Tamandua tetradactyla: one gene and its partners. The protein of the gene in region 1 binds, or shares a complex with, the protein of each later gene. Links are inferred from orthologs where the notes say so. Each region holds a gene or a part of one and is shown in the gene's direction. Other genes may lie near its edges.

Evidence for each region.
Region 2: APBA1 (region 1) and LIN7A share a complex: the UniProt entries of both Homo sapiens proteins name them as parts of the brain-specific heterotrimeric complex. The link is inferred for Tamandua tetradactyla from reciprocal best matches to the Homo sapiens genes APBA1 and LIN7A.
Region 3: APBA1 (region 1) and LIN7B share a complex: the UniProt entries of both Homo sapiens proteins name them as parts of the brain-specific heterotrimeric complex. The link is inferred for Tamandua tetradactyla from reciprocal best matches to the Homo sapiens genes APBA1 and LIN7B.
Region 4: APBA1 (region 1) and LIN7C share a complex: the UniProt entries of both Homo sapiens proteins name them as parts of the brain-specific heterotrimeric complex. The link is inferred for Tamandua tetradactyla from reciprocal best matches to the Homo sapiens genes APBA1 and LIN7C.

What each region holds. Positions count from the first base shown.
Region 1 is NC_135328.1:99,577,308-99,584,219, reverse strand, and holds the start of APBA1 (amyloid-beta A4 precursor protein-binding family A member 1), read left to right. Parts: upstream 1-3,895; 5' UTR 3,896-4,114; intron 4,115-6,912. UniProt on the Homo sapiens protein: Putative function in synaptic vesicle exocytosis by binding to Munc18-1, an essential component of the synaptic vesicle exocytotic machinery. May modulate processing of the amyloid-beta precursor protein (APP) and hence formation of APP-beta.
Region 2 is NC_135333.1:150,094,462-150,101,665, reverse strand, and holds the start of LIN7A (protein lin-7 homolog A), read left to right. Parts: upstream 1-4,187; 5' UTR 4,188-4,700; coding exon 4,701-4,782; intron 4,783-7,204. UniProt on the Homo sapiens protein: Plays a role in establishing and maintaining the asymmetric distribution of channels and receptors at the plasma membrane of polarized cells.
Region 3 is NC_135342.1:12,006,654-12,014,111, reverse strand, and holds the start of LIN7B (protein lin-7 homolog B), read left to right. Parts: upstream 1-4,448; 5' UTR 4,449-4,471; coding exon 4,472-4,508; intron 4,509-4,836; coding exon 4,837-4,955; intron 4,956-5,202; coding exon 5,203-5,274; intron 5,275-5,890; coding exon 5,891-6,100; intron 6,101-6,846; coding exon 6,847-7,010; intron 7,011-7,355; coding exon 7,356-7,377; 3' UTR 7,378-7,458. UniProt on the Homo sapiens protein: Plays a role in establishing and maintaining the asymmetric distribution of channels and receptors at the plasma membrane of polarized cells.
Region 4 is NC_135334.1:103,337,925-103,345,099, reverse strand, and holds the start of LIN7C (protein lin-7 homolog C), read left to right. Parts: upstream 1-4,159; 5' UTR 4,160-4,285; coding exon 4,286-4,322; intron 4,323-7,175. UniProt on the Homo sapiens protein: Plays a role in establishing and maintaining the asymmetric distribution of channels and receptors at the plasma membrane of polarized cells.

The sequences.
Region 1 (6,912 bases):
TAAAAAAATATGTAGATACAGTATCTCTAAAAGCTGCAAATATTCCACTGTAAAGGCATATCATTCTACATACCAATACCCTTATTACTGAACATTGGGTGAAAATTTCTGATTTTTACCATTATGAGCCTGGGATGAACAAGATAGGTGATGTTTTTGTTCCCCTTTGTCTCTTTCCTCCTCTTCATGGTACCCAGACCTTGCTCTATCCCCAACCAGCCATGTCATCTGGGGACAACTGACCCAGCTCCAGTAGTGAGGGGTGCCTGGTTTAAGCCAGTCTGTGTGACCCACTCCCCTAGCCCTGGAGATTAATTCAGAGAGGGGAATATATCCCACACAGAACCACTAGTGAAAAAGGACTCTATGTTTCCATGACAGGCTTCACTCAAACTTCATTTCAGAGGCAGAAATACTATATGAGGCACGAGAATGTCTTCCAGTGTATCAGATAAACAGTCATAGCACTGAATTCTGGTTGGAATCATTAAAGGGTACAGGGTCTGAGATTCAGGAAAACGATAAAGACAGCCTAACTTGTTCAGAGAACAGAAAGGAAAAGGAGTCCCATCTGTAGCCAGGGCAGAATTCATGTCCAAAGAAAAAATTGGTGAAATAAGAATCAGCATTTCAAAGTGTACATATTAAAGTTTAGGATAAGTCCATTTCATAATGGCATATTTTGTTCATTCATTTAAAATGCGATGACAAACATGACTATACTGTAAATAAGAAGATGCTGGATTACCAAGGGTTAGCAAAACTGAAATCCTTGAGAAAATCTTCGTTACTTGCAGCCTGTTGAGTGTGTGTCCTACATACAACCTCAGCTCACAGGATTTAAACTCAAGGATGAGATGCAAAGAAAGTAATCACTGAAGAACATGAAATCAAAAAAAGTTTTGACTGCTATCAGGAGAGGCGAGTCCAATTTTGGCTGTTCAGAACCATAACAAAGGCTATACTGGTGGACACGGCTCTAATATAAACCCAAGTCACCTGGCACAGTGTCAATAGTATTGTCACCTGATACTGTCACCACAATGGCTGGAAGGTTCCCAGTGTCCACTACATTGCTTTCTGAAACATTAAATAGCAGTTTGCCCCTTGTGATGGGGGTAGGTGGATACAAATGTTTGATGTGGCTTATACGAATACTTTTAATAAAGAAGAAAATTACTAGTAAAGCAGGCCCAGAATAATTATAGATAGAACAGACAGATCAAAGGGAGAGTTAAAACAGGTATGAAAGTCATATGGTTCCACCAGTTCCTAGAATGAGCTGCAGATATGGCTTTGAGTTTCCTACCAGCCAAGGCGCAGAGCACAATATGAACACTTGTGATAATGATCTGCATTGTCCATAAGGAATAGACATAGCTGTGTTTTTCATCAGGGAAAGGGAGGAAGTTTTCCAGATATGACTATTTGGTGGTTAATTAGTTTTTGGAGGTCTCTAATCTGCCATTATAATAATTACTGCTTTCCTTTATATGGCATTTAATACTTTGCAGAGTAATTTCACATACTTTCCTTAATCTGCGCAAAAATCCTGTGATGCAAGAGTGAAGGGGAAGGTATTATTAAAGCAATAATGTACTGCCTCTCATGCATCTAGGAACCTTGTCTAACTGGGGACACAGCACAAAAAGTAGAAAATAAGCAGAAAGATCTCAGAGATGTCAAACCAGATGGCACCAAGTGTATGCATAGAAAAGAACCTCTCAGAATCTACCTCCTCTTATCTAACCTGAATTCTAACCAGGTTAGTTAATTCCCTTCCTAAAACTACAGGAGCTTACAAGTAACAAAACAGGAACTGTTACAGGGAGGCACTCTGAAAGCCCCCAAATCTGTCACTTATGAAAGCAGACACAAGAACTTAAACAAACAATTGCAGATAGTGTAAATTTTGAAAACTCCAAACCCTCGCCAAGTAGGATAAACTGGGACTTGCTCTGAGTCTCTCAGTCCTGGACTCTGACCCTCCAGAAGTCGGTTCATCACTCTGGGATTTTTTCCAGAAATTGTAATGTGATCATGATTGCTTCTCTCAGCCCTCACAGACCTTCAGTGACTTTCTAAGGCAAAAAAGGTAAAATCCTTAATTAAAATGGCCTTCAAGATGCTGTTGCCTGCCTCTCCAGACTCATTTCACACACACTCCTCACTCCAGCCCTACCTGCTTGCTTGCACTCTTTCTTCTCTCTGCCTAGTAGTGTCTCCCTTCTGCCTCTCCTGGGTAATTTGAAATGCCATTTCCTTGGAAAGGCTTACCTGATCTTCGAGTACAGATTAGGTTCCCTAGGACACCCCTAACACCTCAGCATCCAATTGAACACTTGTCAGAGTTGCACTTAATTATGTCCAATAGTTCAGTATTTATCTCCTCCAGTTTTCTGAGAGCCCTGAGAGAACAAGGACCTTGTCTGCCTTGGACATATGTTGAATAAATATTAAAAAACAAATACATACATAGCAAGGACAAGCATGATATATCTCAATATATAATATTTCAGTCTTACTAAAAGTTGATTTTGAGGGGGAAGCTATTGTTTTCTTTATTTAAGAAAAAATGATTCATTATGGATAGAATGAAAAATTCATATGAATTTAAAAGCTAAAACACAAGACTTCCAGAATGCTTCAGGCTACGCCCCCATATTTTTCTGGAAGCATTGTGCTTAACATAATAAATTCTCAGCTATATGGAAACATGGTGTAAAAAAAAAAAGATCCATTTCCAAGGGTTCTGTATAACCAAAGCTTATTTTCATTTTACTGGATGAGAATATGTGTGCGAAAAGCACTTTGCAAACTCTTAAGTGTGTGTGCAAATGTAAGTTGTTATGATTACCGCTGAATTTTTATCCGAAGGGGGGAAATGATGTGGTTCATTTTCACCGCTAATTAGAGGCGGGGCTGGCGCCAGGACCTGGCCTCCTGAGACCTCATCAGCCCACTGCACTTCATTAATGCATAGCACCTGCTACCTGGTTCCTGCTGCAAAGGGCTCCCCCCCTCTCTCCCGAGCCAGAGGCCATAACTGGGGCGGATGCCCTAACCCAGGCTCAAATACACTTTAAGCTCCAATCAACCAGAACTGAGAAGCGGGTAAGAAAACCCACGCCACACATTTCCCGGCAAGATAATACAGAGACTTTCTGCTCTTCCGGACGGGACTCGGCAGCTTCCCACCAGGGCCGCAACCTGGCCAAGCTTCGCTCTGGTCCAAACCCGCGGCTCTCCCCCGTGCGGCGGAAACGGAGAACTGCAGCGCTTTCCAGAGACCCTGTCAATCTTCTTTCCGGAGAAGTGCTGGGAGTATTTAAGAGGCCGGGGAAGCGGGAAAGCTCCGTAGTAACTAAGGAAAGAGAACAACCCTCAGGAGCCGACGCGGTTGCCCGAATTCGTGGTCAGCTCCTACGCACAGAGGTTGGCCAAGACGGCGGATTAGGAAATCGCCGACCCCTTGGGCTTCCGCTGAGAAGGGTGGAGGTCTCCGTTAGTCCCCTCTGGGAGGCAGTCGCGTTTCCCTCTCTCTGTCCGGCCAGTCCGGAGACCGAGAAGTGGCCGGAGAGCGCAGGATCAGGGCGAACGCACTCTAAGGCTCGCTCGCCGGGTCTGGGCGCGAGGAACAGATACAGGGCCGGATGCCCCCCATACCCACCCGAGCCGCGTAGGGAATACGGCCCGCCGAGAACGCGGGTGCCTCGAGCTCGCGCGTTGCGCGCGCAGGCGGGTGGGCGTGGGAGGCAGGGGCGCTACTAGCACGCGGCGTGCGCGCGCGCGCCCTCCCTCGCAGGCCTGCCCAGCCCCGGCCCGGCGCGCGTCACGAGGGGCAAGCCCGCAGGCGGGAGGGCTGGAAGGCGGGTGGAGGGAAGGGGGTGGGGCCGCGGGACCTGAGGGGCCCGAGCGGCGGTTGCGGAGCGGGGTGAGGGCGGCGGTGGTTTAGGCGGCGGCAGCGGCAGCGGTGGCGGCAGCGGCAGCGGCAGAAGATGGTGGCGTTGGAGGTAGGAGCGGCTGGAGCGGAGCTTTATTCCCAGGCTTGGCACAGACGCTGTCATTAGCGCCGTCTGCTCCCGCGGGCCAGCGGATCCAGCTGTCAGGCAAGGTACCACCGCCAGGGAGGGGCGTGTGGGAGGGTGGGGGTGCCCAGCGCTGATGCCGCCGGCGACGGAGCCCGGGTCCCCGTCGAAGGGTGCCCCTGGGCGCGAAAGGGGCTGCGTGGAACAATAGTGCGGATGAAGCAGGGACAGCAGGAGACCTTCTGGGGCAATGCCTTTAGCCATCGAGCTGGCAGAGCGGGGGAAGGGAGCATTGAGGGGAGAGTCGCCTGGTGTCCGAGTAGATGCACGCTGAGATGCCAGGGCTCTGAGGGCAGCTGGCGGGCCTGATGATAGTCATGACCAGACTTGTGCGTGTGTGTGTGTGTGTGTGTGTGTGTGGGAGAGAGAGAGAGAGGGAGGGAGAGAGGTAGGTACAGCAGAGGAGGTGGGGTGAGGGCATTGGACCGGAGGTGTTGGGGATGACATTTCCAGGAACCCCCGCTAGGATCCCTCATCTGTCACTGACTCTCCGGGAGGAGTGCCGTAATAGAAATGGTGAGGTGGGCAAGATGCATTTGGTGTGTGAAGTGTGGAGGGAGGGAGTGAGGAAGGGGCGGGTTTGTAAAATCCTGTGTGTTTGAGTGTGTGTATGTGTGTGCACGTGTGTGATTTCATCTAGGCTTCCCAAACTGCGCCCCAAACCCAGGGATCTGTTGGTCCCCTGACTTGCTCTCACGAGCCCAAACTGTGGTACAGAGTTTGTTATTTTGACCCTGAAACTCAGTACAGTCTCTGTTCTGCTCCTGCGTGTGGATTGCTCCGGTCTCGGCATTCTCGTTTCCCCTTTCTCCCGCCCCTTGACGCGGGGATGTGGAAGTGGGCATGCAGCTGTGGGGCGCATGGCAGGGAAACAAGATCATGGTTACACTCTCTGGGCGTGCTGGTGTCCCCCCTTTTTAAGGGGGCTTCCACCCCGAGACACTTTCTCCTGGTCTTAGCCTATGTTCTGTAGGGGTCTTAGACGCCCTGACTCTGCAGTTTCTATTGTTTATCTCTTGTCTGACCTGAAGGAGGGAGGTCATTAATGGACCCATTCCTCTCCCTGTCCCCACAGTTTTGAATGCCAGTGTCCAACTATACCTTCCCCCTTCACATTTAAACACTGGGGTCCTTGTGGCTGAAGGGTGGGTGGTCTTTGTGATGATTCTTTTAGAAAGAACTCTAGGGGTGGGGGTATGTATAGATAGAGATAAATGGGGGGAGGGAGAGAATATTTTAAAAGAAGAAAATTGTACTGAGACCTGTTTGGCATCCCCTTGGTCAGCATCACACAGCCAGGGTGTTTTCCTGAGGAAAGTGGATACTTTCTTTCTGCTGCTAGTGACATCCACTCTCCTACCTTTCAAAATGGCTAGGTAGGGCTATGTATCATTGGAAACTGAAACCCCCCAGGCCGATGATGATGGTGTCTTGGATGGATGAAGTCCTTGCCTTCCTGCCTGGTGTAGTCCCTTAGTAGGGGATGTGAGAAATGTCAGGCTAGCAATAGGTCACCCAGTGGGAGCCAGGAGACAGAGATGCACCCAGAGTCTATGTCTGTTTAATTGTCTCTGCGTGATAAAGATAGGCTTGTGTGGGGATGGGTAGAGAGAGATAGGAAGGCATATGGTATATCCCCGTGTGTGTCCACTGCGGTTTGACTCCCTGCGCCTCTGTTTCTCCCGCGGTGTTCGTAAGAATTAGTGCACCTTTATGCTTAACATACTGGTACCTCTTTATTAAAATGTTGTATGACTAGATTAACCTGCCTAGAATGTATTCTGGTCATAATATCTTAAATTCTACTGCATTGCTGTCAGAATCCAAACTGGCTGCCCCAGTCCTCTTTGAAAAGCCTGTAGCAGTCATGGCTACACAGGTAAATATATAACACGTTGGCATCAGAGTTCTTTTTCTTGTTTCCTTTGTTTTAAAAAAAACATTTTTTTTTTTGGTAGAGGTTGCATGCTATTATTGTTAAATTGGAAATAATAATAAAACTAGACCTATCCATATATCGCTTTTTTCCTTCCCACTTTTCTTAATTAATGATGATATAGAGACCAGGTGCTCTTGAAGCTGCCATCATGAAGTATTTCCCCGTTTCCCCATGTCCTTCAAGTAAAGCTTTTTAAAATTTTAATGTGAGGTTGTTGGATCTCATCCAAGATTTAGGGATAGCTTTATAGAAATAAATTTTGCATCTTAGTTCTTACTTTCTTATTAGTTCTGCCAAATCTCTTTCTCAGAAAAGTACTTACGGAATTTTAAAACGTTGTAAGAGGTTTTTTTTTTTTTTAATGTCATCTTTATATTTGCAAGTAAAATCCAGAGATGTAAATGTCTTACATGAAAGTTCAACAGTATCAGGAATTTCCAAGGTAATAAACTATGTTTAAAGTAAGAGGAGTTATACAGCAATCCAATTGATGATTCAGATATTAGTAATTTCCTTTCTTATGTAAATGTAATAATTTTTAATATGCAATACCTGGATTTCCTAAAGGTTAGTCTGCTAAGGTTAATGATACAGCTTGAATCCTGTAATTCAGTCTGGTAAACACGTTTACCTTTTGCTGTAGTCCGCAGCAGGCCATTTGTTTTGCAAGTATGCCTTTTTTTCACTTTAAGTAGCATTAATGCGTTTCTCTTCCATTTTGTGTCTCTTAAAGAACTTTGTTTTCTAGAAGACTTGTAAGTAAAAGACATTTGCAAACTGACCTATGTGGGTAAAAGGAATAAACTATGGTAATATAGGAAAATAGGACTTTTATCCTATAAGGAAAAAGTTGTTGTTGCTAAAATTGAGAGAAGTTTAAGCTTT
Region 2 (7,204 bases), on another chromosome or scaffold:
TTGTAGGTTCCAAAAATTTGGAAATAACCCCTGAGCAGATGTGAGAAAAATATAACTCCGATATCACTTTTGAAAGTCATTTTGTCTTGCATATTTTACGTCTTAGGCTTTCCCAGTGGTGTGAGCCTGAGATTGGAGTGTAGAAAGAAAAAAGAAGAGTTGCAAGTTTTAAATTTAAATTTCTTTGAAGAAAGATTAAACATAACTTCCAAATGTGAAAACAGAAAAACATTAATTTCAAAATGAAATAAAACAATCATTTTATATTCTATGAATTAAATAGAATACATAAGACACTTAAAATCTGAAGACTTAAAACCTGAAGAGCTTTGCACTCATGAATTATATTATGCTATTGCCTTATGGCCAAATCAGAGTAAAAAATAAATTATTTATACTTAAGATTTTCATGATAACTAATAATGAAGAAAATGCAAATAAGACCCTACAACAGAGGAATAATTATTCGGATTTCATATCTCCTTCATCAAAGTTCTTTTTCATTTATTTTGAAGGAAATGTAAAATATATTGACTTTTTATATATTTATTTCATATTTAATTTCCTAACATCCAACTCTAAATTAGTAACTCCTTATTGTGATGTTAGTATTTTTTAATGTAGATGCTGCAAAATCAATCTTTTTCTTAGTGCAAATCTTTTTATACATTCTATCGTATGATGGGCACAAGTAATTCATAAGAGTTTCATTACATTTTTGTTATTTATATTACCTTCTACCACTGGACTCAAAATGGCCCTCTTTAGACTTGTTTTTCTTATAGTCCAAACTGAGCTGTTGACTGCTGGCAAACATGACCAACCTGCTCTCCCATCCTTGGCTTTACTCTCCTGATACCTGGGATATCTTTTACCCTTTATCTGCCTTTTGGAATCCTGACATTTTAGAACCCACTCAATCACCAAATTATTAATTCTTAGCACAGCACTTGGTCACCAATTAATCCCTTTTTTGTTTACTAGTTTTTTGACTGCTTTTACCCCCATCCCCACCCCAGAATGTAATCCTAGTGAGCACAGGGACTTTTTCCCTTGTTCACCTTTATATTCCAGTGTCTAGAACGGTGCCTGGCACACAGTAACTTTGTTGAATGAACAGACAAATTATCAGCTATCAAAACAGATTCAAGGATGAAATATAGTAAGATGCTTTATATATGATCATCTTTTTTTCCAAAAACCCACAAACATTTATATTCTAACATATAGGTTGACACTTCATCAAAAACTAGTGCTATTTTGACAAAGCTGTGTGAATTAAAGAAGAAAATGTGATATCTTGAGTCAGTCAAAAATAATTTCTAACACTCAAGGCTGAAAGAATTCCAGTTTGAAGGTGCTATTTTCTCATAAGAGACTGTGCTTATTATACTCCACTTATAATCCAACCAAACACATTTTCCTGGTTTTAGGTAAAGCTTCCCTTGATTTTGTCACATAATTTTAAAGGATTCATTTAAATGAAATAAATCTTAACATAGCTTTGAATGTATTTTCTAATAAGAAAAAATTTTATATTTCAAAGTAGGTATTCATTTTGATATCAATCTATTTTTTATATAGAGTAGAATCAGTATTATAATATTTTTCTTCTTGGACCTAACTTTTCTCCATACATTCCTCTCTCCAAGTATGTCTGAAGCACAAAGGAAAAGGAAAAAGGATGTGTATATGTCTGGAACTCTGAAATTTAGGGCTGAAATCACTAACCCTTCAATAATACAGAATGAATTATGGTGTGTCTTAATAGAAAGCACAGGAGCTCCTGATTCCACGTCCTATTATTAATCAAGTTTCTTAAGCTCTCTGAGATTCAGAGACAGCAATACTTACTTTTCTGGGCTGGAAAGAGAGGGAGAGAAAGATCAACTTAGCACCAAGCCTGGCGCATGGAAAATATTCAGTAAGTATTGACTAAATTAATGCAGTCTATTGAAAATAAAGTTACAATGAACTTACTAACTATATACCATATAATGAAACACCGTATGCAAATGAAAGGCGTACCTGAATAGCTAAAAGTGTAACTGCATTTTTTAACAGTTCACTGATTACTATGCAATCAATTAAGCAACGCTGCATATGAATAGGTCAAGTATATTGACCTTGATTAAACGCTATGGTTGATAAAGGAGTGGCCCCGAAAATATTTGTGCTACCCAAGCAAAAATGGCTCAAGAAATTATTTTATACCTTTATATATCTCAAATAGAAATCTACAAACATTATTGAAGAGGCAGTGGTTAGTTATTCATACTTCATAAGAGCAAAATATAACAGAGAATGAATTATTCTTCATTCATTGAAGTTGTTACTGTTAGAAATAATAACTGATGAATATATGGTGATTTGTACTTCCTCTTAACTATCTATTTTAATCCTCCCAAAAATCCTAAAAAGACAACACAGAAAGAGAACCAGAGGTCAAAATTTCATTTAGGAATTTCAAGACGTAAGTTCAGAAACATGGCATTAAATGTTTGATGCTGGAGTCAAGATCCCTTTGCTCATTGATTAACTATTATTGGGTCTGCTATATGCTAGAATCTGTTCTAGGTTCTAGAGATACATCAGGAAACAAAGAGAAACAAAATAAAATAAAAATCCCTGCTTCATGGGCCCTTATCATCTGGGATTCGTGTTGGACTAGGTAAAATTATGGCTTTTAGATTTCTGAACCAAGCTGTTCAAATATGTATTTATAATAAAGCTTGTTAAAAGAACTACTTTAGTGGCCAAAGGATTTGTTTGTGCTTTTCATCACCCATTACTGAATAAGGTTTGATGCTTTTTGCAAAACCTTGGAAATCATTTTTATTGTGTACAACTCTTTCTCTGCTGTTTGATTTAAGCTATGTGGATAATGATAACCAGCCATGAATTTGTTGCTTCCTCCTCTGGCCTCCCACAGCACTTCCTTTATATGATGCTTACAGGAGTTGGTGCAAGGAGTTCTCGTGGCTTACGATTCTGTCTTCCAACCCCAACTGACAAACGTTCAGAAATGTGGCCATGCTTCAATGTTTGCATGCCCAGTGCCTCGTCCAATGTTTGACATACAGTTCAGGGGAATGAATGTTTGTGGCATGAATAAATTTGTATATACTTATTTTTTCAAGCCACCTCCCTGGGCATGAGCTCGTCTGGCCTTCACACAATTCAGTGAATAGAATTATTTCTCTCATATTACAGAATCTCAGTGTGATTGAAGGACATCCCTGCAAACTGAGGATCAGTATAAGATTAAGTGACTTCTGAAGGGTACTGTACTAAGGTGTCAATTGCATGATCAGAGCTTTTTCTACAACACTAAATGAAAATATAGGCATCAGGTGCGTCTTTAGGGTCTGTTAGATGTATGGTCAATCATCTCTGACTTTCTCAATGGTTTGGTGAAAAATATTGCTTGTTGTGCAAATGCAGACCATAAAACGGAAAAGACCTGCAGAAATCATGCATAATGTAATCAGAAGAGGCATAGATTATATGCACATATTTTGTTGCAAAATCTGTCTGCCTTTATGAATTTTTTCTTAGTTGAAACAATTCTGCTTTGCCACAAGAAAGGGAATGGATGAAGCTTTGTCTTGAACCCACAGTCATCATCATCTTTCTTATAGAGGTTTTCTCTATGCTTCTTAATTTCTTCACCAGGAAATAGAGTCCCTACCATGGCAAGATTATGAGAGCAGCCTGTTTATTGGCAGAGTGGGATGACACAGCTAGATAGTATTTAGAGGTTCTAGTAATTCGATTATGATCAACTGACTCTAAAGCCAGCCTTTGAATAAAATTACCTCCCACAAGCTACAAAAGGCAGGGACTGTAGTGAACCTTCAAAGTAGTATATGACACATGGCCCCTAACACTCTTAGGCAAATTCCTGGCAAACTTGTTAATTAATCAGTAAATGGCAACCCTGAGTAGCCATTGGTGATAATCACTGGTTATGAAAGCGAAAAAGCTTTGGTACACATTTTTTTTTTAACTTAGTAATAGAAACTGTCCTTCATATTTGATATAAAGACATTTTTAAGAACTTGGTTTTTAAGAGAAATTATTTTCTAGGTCATTTACATGGGTCTTTAATGGACTTCTACAGCTAGAACCCTGGTTTTAAGTCCGTTATCCTGTGCACTGTTATACGTCAACATTCCAAAAGAACTTTAACAGAAATTAACAGCAGCCATCCTTAACCACCAACGTTTCCGACATAAGAAGCCTTTTCTCTCTAATAAGATAGGATTAACTTGCTGACGATTTTTCTTAATCTGAAAAAACTCATTTCCCCTCCCCCCACCCCCATACCCCCTTCCCGTCCCTTCTCTTTCCCCGGCCCGCATATACGTTTTATTTGAGCGGAAAGTTAAAAGAAAGCGCCACGCCAGCTACACCCACCCAGCGCTCCCGGGGGAGCAGTAAAGTTCTGGGGCAGAACCCCCGTCCCCAGAGCCGGGCGAAGCAGGCGCTCTGCGATCCCGGCTCGGCTCGGCGCCGCGTCGGAAGGTCTGCCCGCCGCGGAACAGTTGCGGCTCCATCTGGCTGACAACCCGCCCAAGCTTTCTTCTCCTCCGCCACCACCACCTTCCCTCCTTCCCCCTCCTCCCCCTCCTTTCCGTTTTCCCTCTCCACCCCCGCCTCCAATCTCCTCCTCTTTTTCTCACTACAAGCGGCTGCTGATGCTGAAGCCGAGCGTCACTCCGGCTCCCACGGCAGACATGGCGACATTGACAGTGGTCCAGCCGCTCACTCTGGACAGAGGTAAGGGAGCGGCCCGCCGCCGGGTCACCGAGTCCCCTCCGCCTCCCCCGCTGGGCCCAGCCAACTCCCACCGGGACTGAGGGACGCGCTCCAGCGAGCTAGGACGAGCCAAGAAGGCGTTCGCGCCGAGAGCAGGATACTTTCTTCCCCTTTCTCTGCCTGCCACGTCCCCGCCGCCCCTTAACACTTCACTCGCCCGGCCGGGGGTTTCCTTAGCCGGGCTTCGGCGCCCCTGCCACCATTCCCAGCCCCTCGCCTGGCCGCGCTGCGTGTCTCGGGCTTTGTTGGAGCAGATGTGCGGGGACCACTAGGCGCCCGGGCTCGGGGTTGGAGAGGGGCAGAGAGGACGCTCGCTGTGCCGGCCGAGGGCGCCTGCAGCCAGAGACCGGAGAAGACGGGCAAGGGTGCCGCCTGCCAGCCAAGGAGGACCGTGGCCCGGGAGGAAGGAAGGAAGTTTGCCCGAGCCTCAGGGGCTGGGGGTGGAGGGTGCTATTCTGTCTGGCCGCGAGTGTCCAGGAGGCCGTCCCGGGAGCCGCACGGCGCACCCCGGGGATGGCCCGTGCCCGGGCGCACGACGGCTGGGCTGCGGCGGCGCCGAGCTGCCCTCTGCCGAAAGGGCAATGCGGGGAGCGCACAGCTGAGTCCCGCCGGGAGCGCCGCGTCGCGGCAGCCGAGCCCCTCTGTCCCCGGCTTCGAGCTCCCAAAGGTAGAGAGGGTTGCGCCCGCTCCCGCCGCCGGCAGCTCCTCGGCGGAGTCAGTGAGCAGTTTCTAATCTCCCTCGACCTTCCTCGTCCACGCGGCCAGATTCGTTCGCCTCCCAGCCCGGCGCCAAGGCGGTGCCCGGGCTGCGGAAGGCGCTGGGAGCGAGCCCAGGGTGCGTTAAAATTCAACTTCTGACCTGCGACCCCGAGCGTCCTGCTCTCGCTGACTTGAATGGGAAGCCGCGTTGGCTTCCTCCGCAGGACCACCCCAAACGAGTGGAGTCCTCCGTTGCAATCTGCTGCCGGGTTTCAATAGTGCATCAGGCGGGGCAGTACCTGTGTGTGTTCGGTTTTTTTTCCTTGGCTTCCGACGGCTAGTAACGAAGGCGCTCGAGTTCCGCGGCTTGCAGCTGAGGGCACCCGCTGGTGGCTGTCTGCAGCGACCGGATTTAGGACCCTGAGCGGCCATTTGGTAATGGTGTGCTCAGAGGAAACACGATTTAGTCCGAGGTGCCTCTAAAAATATTCTTTCTAGTGGATTAAACTGGACGGTGGGACAAAGCAAAGAGCACGCTGTTGTGAGCACAGAGAAAAAAACCCTATGAACGCAGTTCGAGATTTTTAATTTGCAGAAATTGTGGTGACTTCACGCTGTTGGCGCCTGAACAGATGTTTTGTGATGCCTGTAGCAACCTTACTTGGAGTAAGAGTTGAAAAAAAGAAAGAAAAGAAAACAAACAAAAATTCCCAATTGATTTTATATTGGGAAATGTTAATTTGCAAACTAGTAAATTAATAACAGTAGTTGAAGAGCTCAGAAATCCCTGGCATAATCCGTTATTTCTCCCAGCAATATCATCATTTGCACTGAGCAGGTTCAAGCACTGACAGTAAAAGCCAGCCAGATGGCGAGCTATTAGAAATTACTGACTTCCCAAGCATTTTTGTTTCAATTTGATGAGCTCTTACATTTTACCATTACTAAATCATAATCTCTAAACATCCTAAGCAAAATGAAATGAAATAAGGGGGGAAAACCCAAGAAAGAGTTATACCTGAGCGTTTTAATATAATAATGATATTAATAATAATAAAAACCATTTCATTTTTTAACTTTTGCTATAGTCCTTAGATGTAACACACAGATGTTGAGAGGAAGTGATAATGAGACTGAGATCTATTCTTAAAGTTTTGTTCTTGTTGGAAATCAAACTTTACCTGTCCTCGCAGGTGAGATTAGGTTCACACAGTAGTTCAGGAGGCTAGCTAGCTATGTAGAGGCACCTGAATAAACTCTCCAGCAGCTCCTGGAGCGTATAATTTAAGAATGATGGGTTATTGGCATCATCTCTGAAAAGTCAAGATGTTTTCTCTTATAAAATACCATCAATTATACTCTCATTATTAAACTAATGAAAGAAGAAGTTCTGAAAATTTTCCTCCCCAAAGTAAAAGTCTTTAAAAAAGGGCAGCCAGTGTTACTTATCTGGGTCCCAGTTGGGACTTTGATACTCACTTTGGATAACTTTGATACTCACTTTGGATAAGTCAATTAACCTCTTTGGGCCTCAGTTTCTCTCTAAACCATATGACAAGTTTGAATCAATGATGCTGACACTGCAGCTTTAATAGTCAATAATTTGATTGATCAATATTAATACTCAGTTTTTCCAGATCATCATCCCTCCTCCTGGGTTGCTTTGATGCCCTTTTATGTGCTC
Region 3 (7,458 bases), on another chromosome or scaffold:
GGAAGTACGTAGAAAGTGGTCTTCATGTTTACCCTTGCTTTTTCTTGGAAGGCATTCACCTGTCTACCCTGGGTACTGGACTCTTCTCAGAAAGTGTCAGTTCTCCCCTAGGCTGAATTCACAGAACTCGGATCCGGTAGCTGGGACTTGAAGGCAGAGTTCCCAGATAGGAGCGAATCGAGTACCCAGATGTACATGCAGTCTTCCCATAAGGCATTCAGCAGTTTCTGAATGGCTCATGCTCATTGCAAAACCTCCAAGAAACCAGAAAACAGTAACTGGAAGGCTAAACAACTAAGCAGAGATTTGAGCAGCCGTGCAGTTCTGGGGAAGCCGAATTGGTGTTCAAGGCCTTCCAAAGTGGGGTGTCTGGTTGAGTGTCCCAGTGCCACAGTCTAGGAGTAAGGGACAACTGAGATGGACCAGCCTAAGGAAGCCGAGGCTGAACATTACCAGGATTGAGGTGGTCTGACAACCAGAAGAAAACTCTGGAGGAAGATACTACCCACCCAGCCTCTGATCTTTTTTTAAAATCTTTTCGCTATTTTTATTTAAAAATCATGGGGTTACAATGTGGTGATAATGCAAGCCACTGATTATGTACTTTGGATGAATTACAAATGAAACACTATATCTCAATAAAGTTGCATTTTTAAAAAATCATAGGATTATGCTTCCATATAAAGCTTGTACAATTAGCAATGTAAGATACTAAAATATTTTTTTTTTTAAAAAAACCTCAGAATCCCTTTGATTCAATGCTCTTGTGTTTTTAAAAAAGAGAAAAATAAATAATGCAAAACTCAAGAGTTTTGGAGTGTTTGGCATGCTGCCCTTCGTTTCACTTGTCGACGTCATTTTACCAATAACAATGCAGCTGAGTTGCCCAGGCAGCCAATTCCTCAGGACTTGTCCCCACGGCCTCTGTCCCTACCACCTCCACGCCCGCTGCCTGCACCCCCACTACTGTCCAAGGGCAGAGGAACCCTGGAGCCCTGGCCTGGCACAGCCTCTGATCTTTAATACACAGTGCTCAGCGCCTAGCAAATTACCAGACATGTTAGAGAATGAAACTATGGAAAGAGGGAAAAAAAAAAAAAAGTTGAAGAAACAGACCCAGCAATGCTTCAGATGTTGGAGTTAGTGAGACTTTAACCACAAAATAAGGAAAAGATGGAGAATTTTAACAGATCTGGAATCTACCCACCTCCCAAAAAGCCATGGGAATTCTAAAACTGAAGAAAATTAATTCAGTAGATGAATTTATTAACTGATTATACATAGCAGAACAGAAGATTAGTAAGCCAGAGACAGAAGAGTGTGAAGTATCCAGGTTGAGGCCCAGAGAGGAGAAAACAGTGAAAAATACAAAGAGTTTAACTAAATAACAGGATGATTGAGAAAGGCACAATTAGGAGGTCCGTTTCGGGCAATGTTACAGATTCAATAACCTGCAGTCTATGTTACGAACACTAAAAGTGTTAGGAAAAATAAATAGGCAGACTTTCTTGAAAATAAGGGAAATAATGAAAAAGGAAAGCCTTTTTATGATGTGGGGGTTATTCTCCATCAAAACGAGGATGGAGATGTTGGATCCTATTCAGCAGGGCAATGAAGAGAAGTCCCAGAGATTTCCAGAGAGCAGCTGGGTCCAGTTTGGGGTAAGAAGATTGAAGTTGCAGGATAAAAAGAGAGGATTCAGTAAAATATCTTACGACAGAGTTCGAAAGAAACAGAATGTGATAAAAGGGGAAAAAAGGTAGATAGAAACCAAAGAAAAAGCAAGAAGCTGTTCAAAATAACTGTAATCACAGAACACTAACCTGGGCTCTAGGATAAACAATATTTACAGTAATAATATTAGCATTTTATTGACTTCATTAAAAATTGGTACCATAAGACTATCAAGGGAAGAGAGAGAAAAGACTAAGAACAGAAAGCCTATATGTAATATATTTAATAACATCTAAAATTGATAAATCAGGAAATGGTACAAAAGAACGAATTTCACCACCTACCTCATTTCAGCAACAAGAAAATCAAAATGGATCAAGGACCTAAACATAAGAAATCATAAAACTCAGAAGGAAACAGGGAAAATCTTCGGGTCCTTGTATTAGGCAGTATTAGGAAGCAGGTTATTGAATCTGTAACATTGCCCAAAACGGACCTCCTAATTGTGCCTTTCTCAAGGTTTAGATATGATATAGAAATATGAGCAACACAAGAAAAAAATAAGATACATTGGATTTCATCAAAAGTAAAAGGTTTTGTGCATAAAAGGACATTATCCAGAAAGTGAAAAGACAACCTACAGAATGGGAGAAGATATTTGGGAATGTACCTGATGAGGGTTTAATATCCCAAATTATAAAGAATTAAAACTCAACAAAAATGCAAAACAACCTATAAAAAATAGGCAAGGGGGGCGGGCCACAGTGGCTCAGCAGGCAAGAATGCTTGCCTGCCATGCCAGAGGACCTGGGTTCGATTCCCGGTGCCTGCCCATGTTAAAAAAAAAAAAAATAGGCAAAGGACTTGAACAGGTGCTTCTCAGAGGACATACACATACTCAACATCATTAGACATCAGGGAAGTGCAAATCAAAACCACAATGCCATACCACGTCACACCCACTAGGATGGCTATTATTAGGAAAACAAGTGTCGGTGAAGACACAGAGTATGTAAAATGGTGAATCTGCTGTGGAAAACAGTTTGGTGAATCCTCAAAGAGGTAATAAAGAGTTACCATTTGACCCTGCAATTGCATTCCTGGGTATATACCCAAAAGAATTAGAAATGGACATGAACAGATATTTGTACACAAAACTTCACTGTAGCATTATTCACAACAGCCAAAAGGTGGAAGCAACTCGCATCCACCAGTAAGAATATCCATACAATGGAATTATGCTCAACCATAAATAGGAATGAAGTTCTGATGAAACTTGAAGACATCATGTTGTCTAAAATAAGTAAAACAAAAGGACACATTTGTGTGATTTCACTTACATGGAGACAAAGTATATTACAGGTTATCAGAGTCTAGGCAGTGGGCAAATGGGTATTGTTGGTTGTTGAGTACAGAGTTCAGAGTGTTGAAACAGATGGTGGTGTTGGTAGTAGCATAATATTGTTAATGTGATTTCACTGAATTATACACGATAGTGGTTAAAATGGGAAAATTTTTGTTGTATGTGTTACCGTAATAGAAATTTTAAAAAAGAAATAAAAGAAAAAGTACTGTGAAGGAGACAGGGTTAACCAAACCTGCTGTAGTTCCCCCACTTTGTGAGAACCCATCCATTTCCCCATCCAGCTGAACCAGAATATGGAGGGGCAAGACTTGTCAGCGTTTCCTATGTCCATTTTTTTCAGTCTGGCCTTCTCCCCCAGTACTACCTGCAGAGTGTTCTTCCTAAAGTAACCAATGATTCCATGTCTTACATTCAGTAAACATTTTCCAGTTACCTTTGGCATGCGACACCACTGACTACTCGTTTTTTTTAAACACTCTCTTATGGTTTCTCCAACCTGGTTTTCCACCTTTCTGGCCATTCTTTATCCTCTTCCTGACTTTAACTGTTGGAAATTTGGGGGGTTTGGCTAGGTCATCTTCATAATATATTCATATGCCCTAGGCCTCCTCCCCACTCCCTATTCCACTATTTGGTTAGTCCTAAATCATACCCAGATATTTTCCAAATCTATCCTCCTCCAAACCTCCGCACTGGTGCAAGAGGACACCATGTTCCTCCCTAATCCTGCTCCCATCCAATTCTCCACACAGTGGCCCCCGTGATCTTCAAATACAAATTTGAAGATCACGGGGTTCGCAGGAAGTAAAAGCTCCTCGACGCCCACATGCCACCGCTATTCTAAATCGCTGCGATCCTTATTCTGCTACCCAGCCCCGGGGGCCCTTCTTCCAGGCCTTCAAACTCCAGGGCTCTGCAGGCTGCTCGCTCCTCCGGCAGGGGGGCCACGCCCACCTCGGGGCGCTCTTACTCCAGGTTCTGCGCCGGCGTCTTTCCTCTCCTCGGTCATCCCTCCCCACTCCCGATTCTCGTCACAGCCGCAGTTGGTTGTGCCTCTCCCGCTAGACACGAAGTTCCGTGTATGGAGTGGGCTCGTCTGCCTTGCTCATCACCGCGTCCAATATACGTTTGTCGAATGAAGGCTGAAATAAGACCAGATGGAGAGGACAGACGGGTGTGGTGGCAAGGACGGACAAACAGAGACTACTGTGGGAGTGACTGCAAACAGGGCAGAACGATGGGTGGGGGGAGGCAAGGCAGCGCGACGCGCAGACGGGCAGGTCGGGACCCCGGCACTGCGGGGCCGCGTCTCGGCAGGGGGCGCCCGTCTCGCGGGGCGGGGCCTCGCGCAGCCCCGCCCCCCTCGCCGGCGCGGGGGCAGGGGGGCGGCTGGGGGCGGCTGGCGGCGGCGGCGGCGGCGGCGGCAGTGCCATGGCTGCGCTCGTGGAGCCGCTGGGGCTGGAGCGGGGTAAGCGCACCCCGGGAGCCCTGCCCGCCCCGGCCCCGGTCCCGCGTGCCTACCCCTCCCGCGGCCAGGGCTGCGCGGGGGACGCGGGGAGCCGGCGGGGCCTGACGGGCCGGGCGGTCTGTGGGCGTGGGAGGGTCCGCGGGTCGCAGCGGGGGGCACCGGCCGCACGCCCCCGCACAGTGGCTGCGGGAGGGGGCCCTTCCGGGGAATGCGGGGCGCCCGACTGACCGCGGCGCCCACCGGCTCTGTTCTGTCCTTGCGGGCGTCCGGCTGCGCTCGCCCTTGCTCCTCTCCCGCCGCCTCGCTGCGCCCCTGCCCCGCCTCGCAGACGTGTCCCGGGCGGTGGAGCTCCTCGAGCGGCTCCAGCGCAGCGGGGAGCTGCCCCCGCAGAAGCTGCAGGCCCTCCAGCGGGTCCTGCAGAGCCGCTTCTGCTCCGCCATCCGGGAGGTGAGAGCCGCGCGGCGCCCGGCCGCCCGGAGCCCGGGGACTACGCGTCCCAGCAGCGCCCGGCCGCCCTGTGGCGCTCGCGGTTCTGCTCGGGGGCTCTTGGGGAGTTGTAGTTTCCTCGGGCCCCGGGTTGCGGGGACGGGGCGCACCCCTGGGTGGGAGGGAAGAGGGAGTGTGGGAGCCTGGCCCCCTGAGTGCGAGGGAGAAGGGACCCGGCGGCTCCCGAAGCTGCAGCGTCCCCTCCCAGGTGTACGAGCAGCTCTACGACACGCTGGACATCACAGGCAGCGCCGAGACCCGGGCCCACGCCACCGCGAAGGTAGGTGGCCCCCGCCCCCCATCCCTCTTGGTCTGAACGAACTGCCTGGGCCAGCTCAGTGTCTCTCTCGTGTCAGCCATCCCTTTTGCCAAATCTTTTGTACCACCCTTACCGTTAAATTTATGATTTCCTCGAAATACTCTCATGTTTTTTACTCAAACAAAAGTCCTACAAAGGCATCCTTGACAACTACAAATGGAAACCAGTACTGCCCTCCTGACTAGAAGGTAACCTTAGAAATCTATACGTTGAAAACAGTGACTGTCATTAAACAGTGAAATCGTAGTGAAATATAGTTAGACACTGTTTCCTGTAGCTTCCTTGCAGGCTCTCAGCTCCCTCTAGGCCTTGCTTGTTTCCCACTGATGGAAAGTGAGATTGGCAGATGTTGGGGGGTAAAGATACACACGAAACCGAGACTTCTTTCCGAAGTAATCAGAAGCACCTAGAGTGAAAGCAGGAGGCACATGGTCATCACCAGGTGATTTGGAGTTGAGTTGTGGCAGACGCCCCATGTCTGGGGAAAGCAATCTGCCTCCCAGACTCAGATCCCCCACCCCAGGCCGCATGCCCACCGTAGAGGGGCCATCCACTCCAGATGCTGTCTCTCTCCCAGGCCACGGTGGCCGCCTTCACGGCCAGTGAGGGCCACGCTCACCCCAGGGTGGTGGAGCTGCCCAAGACAGACGAAGGCCTGGGCTTCAACATCATGGGTGGCAAGGAGCAGAACTCCCCCATCTACATCTCCCGCGTCATTCCCGGGGGCGTGGCTGACCGTCACGGAGGCCTCAAGCGTGGGGACCAGCTGCTGTCCGTAAATGGTGTGGTGAGTGGTGACTGAGGCATAGTCTGTCCAAGGTGGCACAGCCCTGCTTTTAACATTCATTCATTCAACACAAAGTGATTGAGGACTGCCCACACGGCTGGGCAGTGCTGCAGACCCTGTGAGAAATTGGCCTCAGCTCGTACACTCAAGGATTGCCTCTCAGATAGACCCTGACTGAAATAGTCCTGATCCAGATGATGTGCTGTGAGGGAGGAAGCACAAAGCCTTGTGAGAAAGCAGATGTGGCATCAGACCAATCCGAATGAGGAAGGAATGTTTGAGTTGGGTTTTGAAGGATGAACAGGAGTTTTCCAGGCAAACAAGGTGAAAAAGGGTATTCCTGGCTGAGGCTGTTGCAGGTAGGAGCTGTGAGTCTTGTACTCTTCTGAAATGAAGAGAAAGGGCTTGGCCTTGATGGAGGTCTGGGACATGCAAGGAGGGACAAAGGAGAAGAAATAGGGGCAGGAGGGATAGAACTGAGGACTGAGGGCAGTAGGGAATGAGGATGAGCCTGCAGGTGAGGTTCAGTTACTGAGGGGATATAGGGTCATCCCTAACACCTGACATAGAGAACCTGAAAGGTTGGGGGGGGGGACACTGAGCCAAGAGTTAACTCTCCATAGGGACAGGAGGCCTTGGCATTTTGAGACGGTACTGTGCTCACAAGCAGTTACTCCCGTTTATGGGGTGGGGGCAGGCAGAGGGCCATGAGCCCTGGGCCCAGCTGTGGGTGCACCACCCTGCAGAGCGTTGAGGGTGAGCAGCACGAGAAGGCGGTGGAGCTGCTGAAGGCCGCTCAGGGCTCTGTAAAGCTGGTGGTGCGCTACACGCCCCGCGTGCTGGAGGAGATGGAGGCCCGCTTCGAGAAGATGCGCTCCGCTCGCCGGCGCCAGCAGCACCAGAGCTACTCGTGAGTGCCTTGTCACCGCTGGGACCTTCCACAGCCCCACATAGCCCTGGACTCCCAAACCAGGCCAATGATTCCAGGGTCCTGAATGCCACCCCCAGGTCTGGCTTCTCTTCCCTGGCACCCTGACCCTTGACCCAGGCCTGGCTTCTTTTCCCTGGCCTCCTGGCCCTTGACCCAAGTGAAGGCTTGGTCAAATCCCCTGGGAGGTCCTAGCCTAATCCTATCTCAAGATCTGGAACCCACTTCCCTGGGCCCTTGCCTCTGGAATCTGGGTCCTGGTCCTCTCCCATGTCTTCCCAGGATCCCTCCACTGAGCCTGGCTCCCTTCTCTTCACCCCCTTGCAGGTCTTTGGAGTCTCGAGGCTAAAACCACAGATTTGGACCCTCATCTCCGCCCCCACCCCTGTACAGTATTTATTGTCACCATCCCTTATTTAAAGATCTTTGA
Region 4 (7,175 bases), on another chromosome or scaffold:
AAAAAGATAAATTTCACAATTTCTAGTATCCAGTTAGAAAAAAATAACAGGTATGCATAAAGCAGAAAAATATGACCCATAAAGAGAAGAGAAGTCAATCAATAGAAACAGTCTCAGAAATAGGATAGAATAACATCATAACAGATAATAGAATTAACACAAAGGAGATTAAAATTTTAATTATAATATTGTATTCTAGATGTTCAAGAAGCTAAAAAAAATTGGGAATGTTAAGTAAAAAAGATGGAAGACATAAAAGGAAAAAATGAAATCAAACATCTAGAGATAAAACTACAATGTCTGAGATGAAAAATGCACTGGATGGATTTAAAAGAAGATTATATATTGAAAAAGAAAAAAAATAGTGAACATGAGGATGCAGCATAGGAGCTGTACAAAAGGAAACAGAAGAAAAAAAAAAGATTGGGAAGAAAATGAGACAATGTCTGTGCAAGCCCAAAGACAATGGAACAGCATCTTTAAGGCAGTGAAAGAAAGAATAATGTTGTGGGGCATTGAATCATGTTCCTCACAAAAGGCAAGCACATGTCCCAATCCCTGGTCTTGTGGGTGTGAACCCCTTTTGTAAATAGGAATTTTGAAAATGTTCTTGGTTAAGTTGTAGTGAATCAGGATGAGCCTCAATCCAATATGGCTCACATCCATTTAAGCAAAGGAAATTGCACACAGAAAAAGAAGCCACGGAAGCAGGCTGAAATTGGAAATCAATGGAGCCTGTAAGAGAAAGGAGAAGATGTGGCTATGTGCATTGCCATGTGATAGAAAAGCCAAAGATCCTCAAGGACTGCTGGCCAGCTGGAAGATACCAACTCCAGAAGGAAATAAGCCTTCCAGTTTCTAGAACTGTAAGCCAACACATTGTATGGTATTTGTTTTAGCAGCCAGAAAACGAATACACCTTTCAATCTAGAATTCTATACCCATCTATACCCAAAGATATCGTTCAAAAACTAAGGTTAAATAAAGACTGTTTCAGATAAAGGTGAAGTAATTCATTACCATCTTGACTACAAGAAATGCTACAGGAAATTCTTTAGGCAAAAGGGAAAATAATTACAGATGAAAATCTTGAGCTACAGAAAAGAACAAAAACAATGAAATGGTAAATATAGGTAGGTAAATATAAAGATCTCTTTTCTATTTTTAAAATCTTTTTTTAGAGATAATTGATTATCTAAAGCAAAAACAATGGCAATCCATTGAGGAATTTTATTTTGAACTTCCCGCCTCCCCAGGAGGGGGAATATGGGATAGTACTGTTATAAAGTCCTTAAACTATGCATGAGGAGGTATAAAATTACTTGACTCCAGATTTGGATAAGATAAAGATGTATACAATAAACCCTAAGGCAACTACTTTAAGAAAGAGGGATAGAGAAAGAGATACATGTAAAAAATAGGCCCAGAAAATAAATAAAATAGAATCATAAAAAATACTTAATTGATCCAAAAGAAGATTTAAATGGTGATAAAAAGTAACTAAGTACAGATGGCTCAAATAGAAAGCAAATAGCAAGCTTATATATTTAAATTCAAATTTATCAACAATCGCATTAAATGTAAATTATCTAAATTGGATAATTTTATCCTAATTGAATAAAAAGACCCAATTACATGCTGACTATAAGAAACCTACTTTAATTACAAAGACACGAATAGGTTAAATATAAAAGAACAAAAAGATATACTATAGCAGCGCTAATCAAAGAAAACTCAAGTGGCTGCATTAATAGCAGAGAAAGCAGATTTAGAACAAAGAATATTACCATAGATAAAGGAATAAATGCATAATGATAAAGATGTTAAGAGGAAATATTCTAAATATTTACGCATCTAATAACAGAGCTTCAAAATACATGAAACAAAAATGAACTGTGAAGAAAAATAGGCAAATACATGATTTAATTAGAGATTTTAGCATCCCTCTTTCAATCATTGATGAAACAAGTAAATAGAAAATCAGTAAGGATTTTAAAGATTTGAACAACACTATCAGCCAACTTGACCTAATTGACATTTATATTACACTCTATTCAATAACTGCAGAATTCATATTATTTTCAAATGCACACAAAACCTTTAATAAGATAGATCATGCTTCTGGGCAATATAACAAGTCTTGATGTATCTAAAATAAATCAAATCATACAAAATATTTTCTCTGACCATGATGGAAATAAATTAGAAATAATAAAAAGATATCTAAAAAATCCACAAGTACTTGGAACTAAATACCCATTGGGGGAAAGAAGTTATCAAAAGAAAAATTAGACTATATTTTGAACTGAATGAAAAATTGTGGGATGCACATAAGCCAGAAGTTTTAGGGAACCTTCAATTCTAAAGTCCTCTGTTAGAAAAGGAGAAAGGTCCCAAATGAAAGGACTCAGTTACCACCTTAGAAATCAGAAAAAAAAGAAAGCAAGCAAAGTAGGCCTAAAGTAAGCAGTCATCTACCAAATTTTAGGAAACAAATATTACCAATTCTATATAATCTCCTATAGAAAATTGAAGACGAAGAAATACTTCCCAATTCATTCTATGAGTTCAGCCCATACCAGACAAAGACACTATAAGGAAACTTCAGTTCAATATTGCTTATAAAAATAGATGTAAAAATTCTCTTAAAATATTAGTAAATCAAGTCTAACAATATATGTAAAGGATATAATACATCATGACAAGTGGGATTTGCCCCAGGAAAGCTCAAGAATTTTTACATCTATTTTACATCATACAGCTGGTAAGAGATAGAGCCAGGTAGTCTAAGAACAATGTCTGCATTTGTCTTATTCAACATGATATCCTCAGTGCCTAGGAAGGTGCCTAGTAGACATTATACATGTAATAAGCATTTACTAAATACATTGTAATAGAACAAATGACAATGTAAATAACAGATAAGCACCTGAGTGCAGGGCATAAGGGAGGTTGTATGGGGAAAGGAAGTCTTAGTGGAAGTGGCTGTGTCTTCAGTAGGGATGTGGAGGATGGGTTCAACTTGAGGGTATACACACTTTAGAGAATCAGAGGAGATGTAGAAGAGCATTCCAGGCAAGAAAAACAATGAATGAAAACCTTGTAGCAGGAATAACCATGGTTTTGGGAGGGGTGACGCTTTATGGGGTGATGAGAAACGAGGTTAGATGGGTAAGTTAGGGTCAGAGAATACAAGGCTTTAGAAATAGAAAATAGGAGAGAAACCACTGAAAGTTTCTGAATAGAAACTTTTGATGATGAAATTAGTGTTCAAGGAAAAAACAGAATGCAGCAGGTGACATTCATGATGGATTAGGGGAAGAAAATATTATAATTGGATGGAGAGGGTAGGCTGGGAGCAACCGGGAAGTTGTTAAAACTGTCTTGTCATGAAGAACAGAAAACCTGCATGTGAAAGCACCTAATACGATGTCAGCACAGACTAGGGCTTGGGTAAACGTCAGTAGGATCTAAATATTGGGAAAATTAATACTTCATTTAAATTAGGGACTAAAGTTTTTTTTGGCTCATAAAATTTTCAGAAGTGCTCCTAGGAATCTGTAATGCATTATTTGCTTTATAAAGTTACATTTATACATTTATCAGCAATTAGAAATTATTCTGTGATGTACCACAATGCCTTGTTTTCTCCCTCACCATATGTTTCATGCTCTTTATACTTTCCACCATCCTTTACCTTTACTCTCAAGCAGATTTTTAGGGAAGAGTTGAGTCTTGAGTTTTTTAAATTAAATAACTGCTTACCACAAAAAGAAATCTGCCACGCATAGGCACTTTATTGACAATATTTCATCTACACAATCAATTGCCACCTCAGAGATTGGATTCCTTCGTCGCACAGATGAGGAAACTGAGGCTGAGAGAACGCAGGTAAAGCATTCAAGGGTCAGTGCTGCTAATGGTGACGCAGGGACCAGGATTCCAGGCTCCCACTGACTCCTCTACGCGGCGCCAAGGGTTCCAAGCAGATAGGATAAAGCTTGAATCCCGAGGCAGGGTGCAACAGTCAAGAAAAAGGCTCTTGTCAATCTCGGGAGGCCAGAGGATTCGACAACCGGGCATCTGTTTGAGAACCGATAGAAAACACACCGTAAGAGACTCGGGAGCTCCCCGCACAGGGACTTCAACAAATCCCAGCACTTCCGGAGCCCTTCCTGCTCTCGCGATACCATCCGGCCCTAGCCCGGGGGCTCACGGCCAGGTTCCGCCCCCATCACAGCCCCTCTGTCGTCATTTCCTGTGGGGCTGCGGGCAAAGGGAGAAGATGGCGGCACTGGGAGAGCCTGTGCGGCTGGAGAGAGGTGAGTAAGGCCGAACCGCGAAGAGGGGGTTGGACGGAGTGCTGTGTAGCCTGAGGGGCGGAGGGGCGGCCCGGGAGTCCGCCCCGTGCCCCGCGCTGGCGTCGGTGACCGCGGTCGTGGCGGCGCCGGGCCCTAGCGAGGGTGCTCGCGGTATCCTGACTGATACCCAGACTCCGCCTCTGCACGCACGGTTTGTCTCTTGACATAACACTGTCACACACGCCTTGCCGGCGTTCGCAGGCACACGCCACACACGCGCTGCCTGGATGAGCATAGCAGAAGCAGTGTTCAGAGACGAGTAAAGCGGAGAAAGTAAACACACTACCAGCTCGTACAGACACACACACCACTTACAGATTTCGTTATATAGACCTCACGCCCTACCTGTATGTAAGTGCGCACAAACCCAGTGTCCCCGTCTTCACCCACGTATCGCACACTTCCCGGTCACACAGCACATTCCCAGAAAACCCTATAAACTCCATTGTTACTTTAAAGCACATCCTCACTTTTACTTGGGGTGGGTTATTTCCTGGCTTTGTGCCTTCCTAAGTGCTTTTAAAACGATCCTACTTACTTGGTCTTGGGAGGGTGATTACATAACTGGATCACCGTTTCCTAGGTGGAATAGTGGTAGATTGTAAAGTATTTGAAGATGCACTTCTTTTTTACAAACGCTGCAGTTGCTAGCTGTGGTTGGTTGCTTGTTTTTTATAGAAGACTGTCAAGGAAAATAGAAATTTCTCTTCTGAGTAAAGAAAGAATAAAAAGCCTGTGAAAAATACGTGCCTATACCCGTACCGGGATGTTGTTAGAGATTTTCAGCATTCCACTCTTTTCTCCCCAATTTCTTTATTTCACGCAGTTTCAAGCAAGCTTTGATACACCACGTAAGAAGTCTGCTAAGAACCAAGAAGTACAAAATAAACATTTTGAGTACTAGTACTAAACAAAGCCCAGGATGAAGATTGAAATTATCTTGCAGTGATTAATATTTGCAGTTATAGTCAGTATTAAATAGGTCCTATAAGAAGAATACATTTTTAGAATGATTCTAGGAATACCTCTCTCCTCTTCAAGTCACACAAACAAATGAGCATATTGTTAGTTTGTTCCTTATGGTGTTCACCATTTAGAAATTTCTTACAGATGAGTTTGTTTCTCTTCAGCTTACCAAGGCATTAATTAAAGCATGCTTTCTGACAGAGAAGTAGCTACTCTGAGAAGATTTGCTAAATTAAGCTTAAAACGGTAACATCTTCCTCCTGAACATAATGGCATTGTGCTTTGTAGATGAGAACAAATCTGGTGTTAACAGGAGTAGGTGTTTTTTTCCTTTGAAAGCCAGTTGTAGCATTCTAACACATTGGCATTCATTTGTATTTTAAGTACAGCACAAGATAATGTGGAACTTCACTCCTGGCATTTAGTTTTGGTAGCCATGGCTTTGTTTTTGCTGTTTCAGAATTATTTTCCTTGGTACAGCATGCTCAGCACCTTAGTAGGATGAATTACTAATGATAGCCATTTAAACAGGATGAAAGAGTCAGTACATCAACTCTGATTATTTTGAATTCTGTTTCACAGACTTTATTAACAAACACTTTCACCCATCCTGCAGTGTAAAGTTGCTACACATAATCAAGATCCTGAGCGCCTTCTAAAGCATCAGAATGTGATTCTTTGGGACGCATTTGAGCATATATTAGGTACAATTTAGATTCAATAAGAGAATTTAAAGTCTACAGTCTGTTAATTGGAAGTTTTTATATGGGTTATGTCCTATAACTTTGTAAACAAAAATTTGATGAACCAACAGTCCCCATTCTCCAGCCATTCTAGTAGTGGGAAGTCAGCATGGGGAAGGTATGTTTTTGTTTACATTGCATTTGAACAGCATCAGTTTAAGCTTTTATTATTTGAAACTTTCTTCACTAGATTTACTCCTAGTTTTCCAGCTGCAAACACAAAGCCATACTAATTCTATAAAGCAATTTTTCCCATCCTTCAGTGTAACATAAAATTTAGAACTTCTTCGAATAAAGACAGAAGGAGGCAAAGGATAGTAGAAAAATGCTGCATCCACCAGCGGTACAGAAAAAAATCAAAGTAAGCATAGTTGTTAATAGTGTTGTAAAACGTATACAAATCTTATAAAATATTTTAATTCATAAAATATTTGAACACTGGGCGGGCCACGGTGGCTCAACAGGCAAGAATGCTCGCCTGCCATGCCAGAGGACCCGAGTTCGATTCCCGGTGCCTGCCCATGTAAAAAAAAAAAAAATATATATATATATATATATATATATATACATATTTGAACACTTAGCGTTATACTTCCCAATCAGAATTGCCTAACATGCTTAATGTAGTTGTATAAATTTCTGCAATCTCTTATTATTTTATATAATTAATTAGCACCAATTTAATATTTGTGTTTGCTAAATGCCAGGCCCTGTTCTGAGCACTTTATATTTATTATTTGGTTCAGTCAGGTAACTCTTATGATGTGAATTTGTTGTATCTGTTTTATATTTGAGGAAATTGAGACTTCAGGGTGGTTAAAGTAACTTGTCCAGGATCACACAGCTAGATTTAAAACCAGATGACAAAATTAATTGTTTTTATTTTTTTATTCTGTAAACAAAAGTATTTGATCATGCTGGTCTTGATTAAAACATCATGTTAATGATCCTAAGTTGAAAGTGCACCAATCCATTATTTTCATTCATTTACTATTGTTTTAAATGTGTTCCTGTCACTAGCATCAGGTTATTAAGCAGTGCGTATCTTTGTGTGTGTTGTGTTTTTCTTTGGGAAATGAATAGTGATTTCACTAGCATGTAGTGG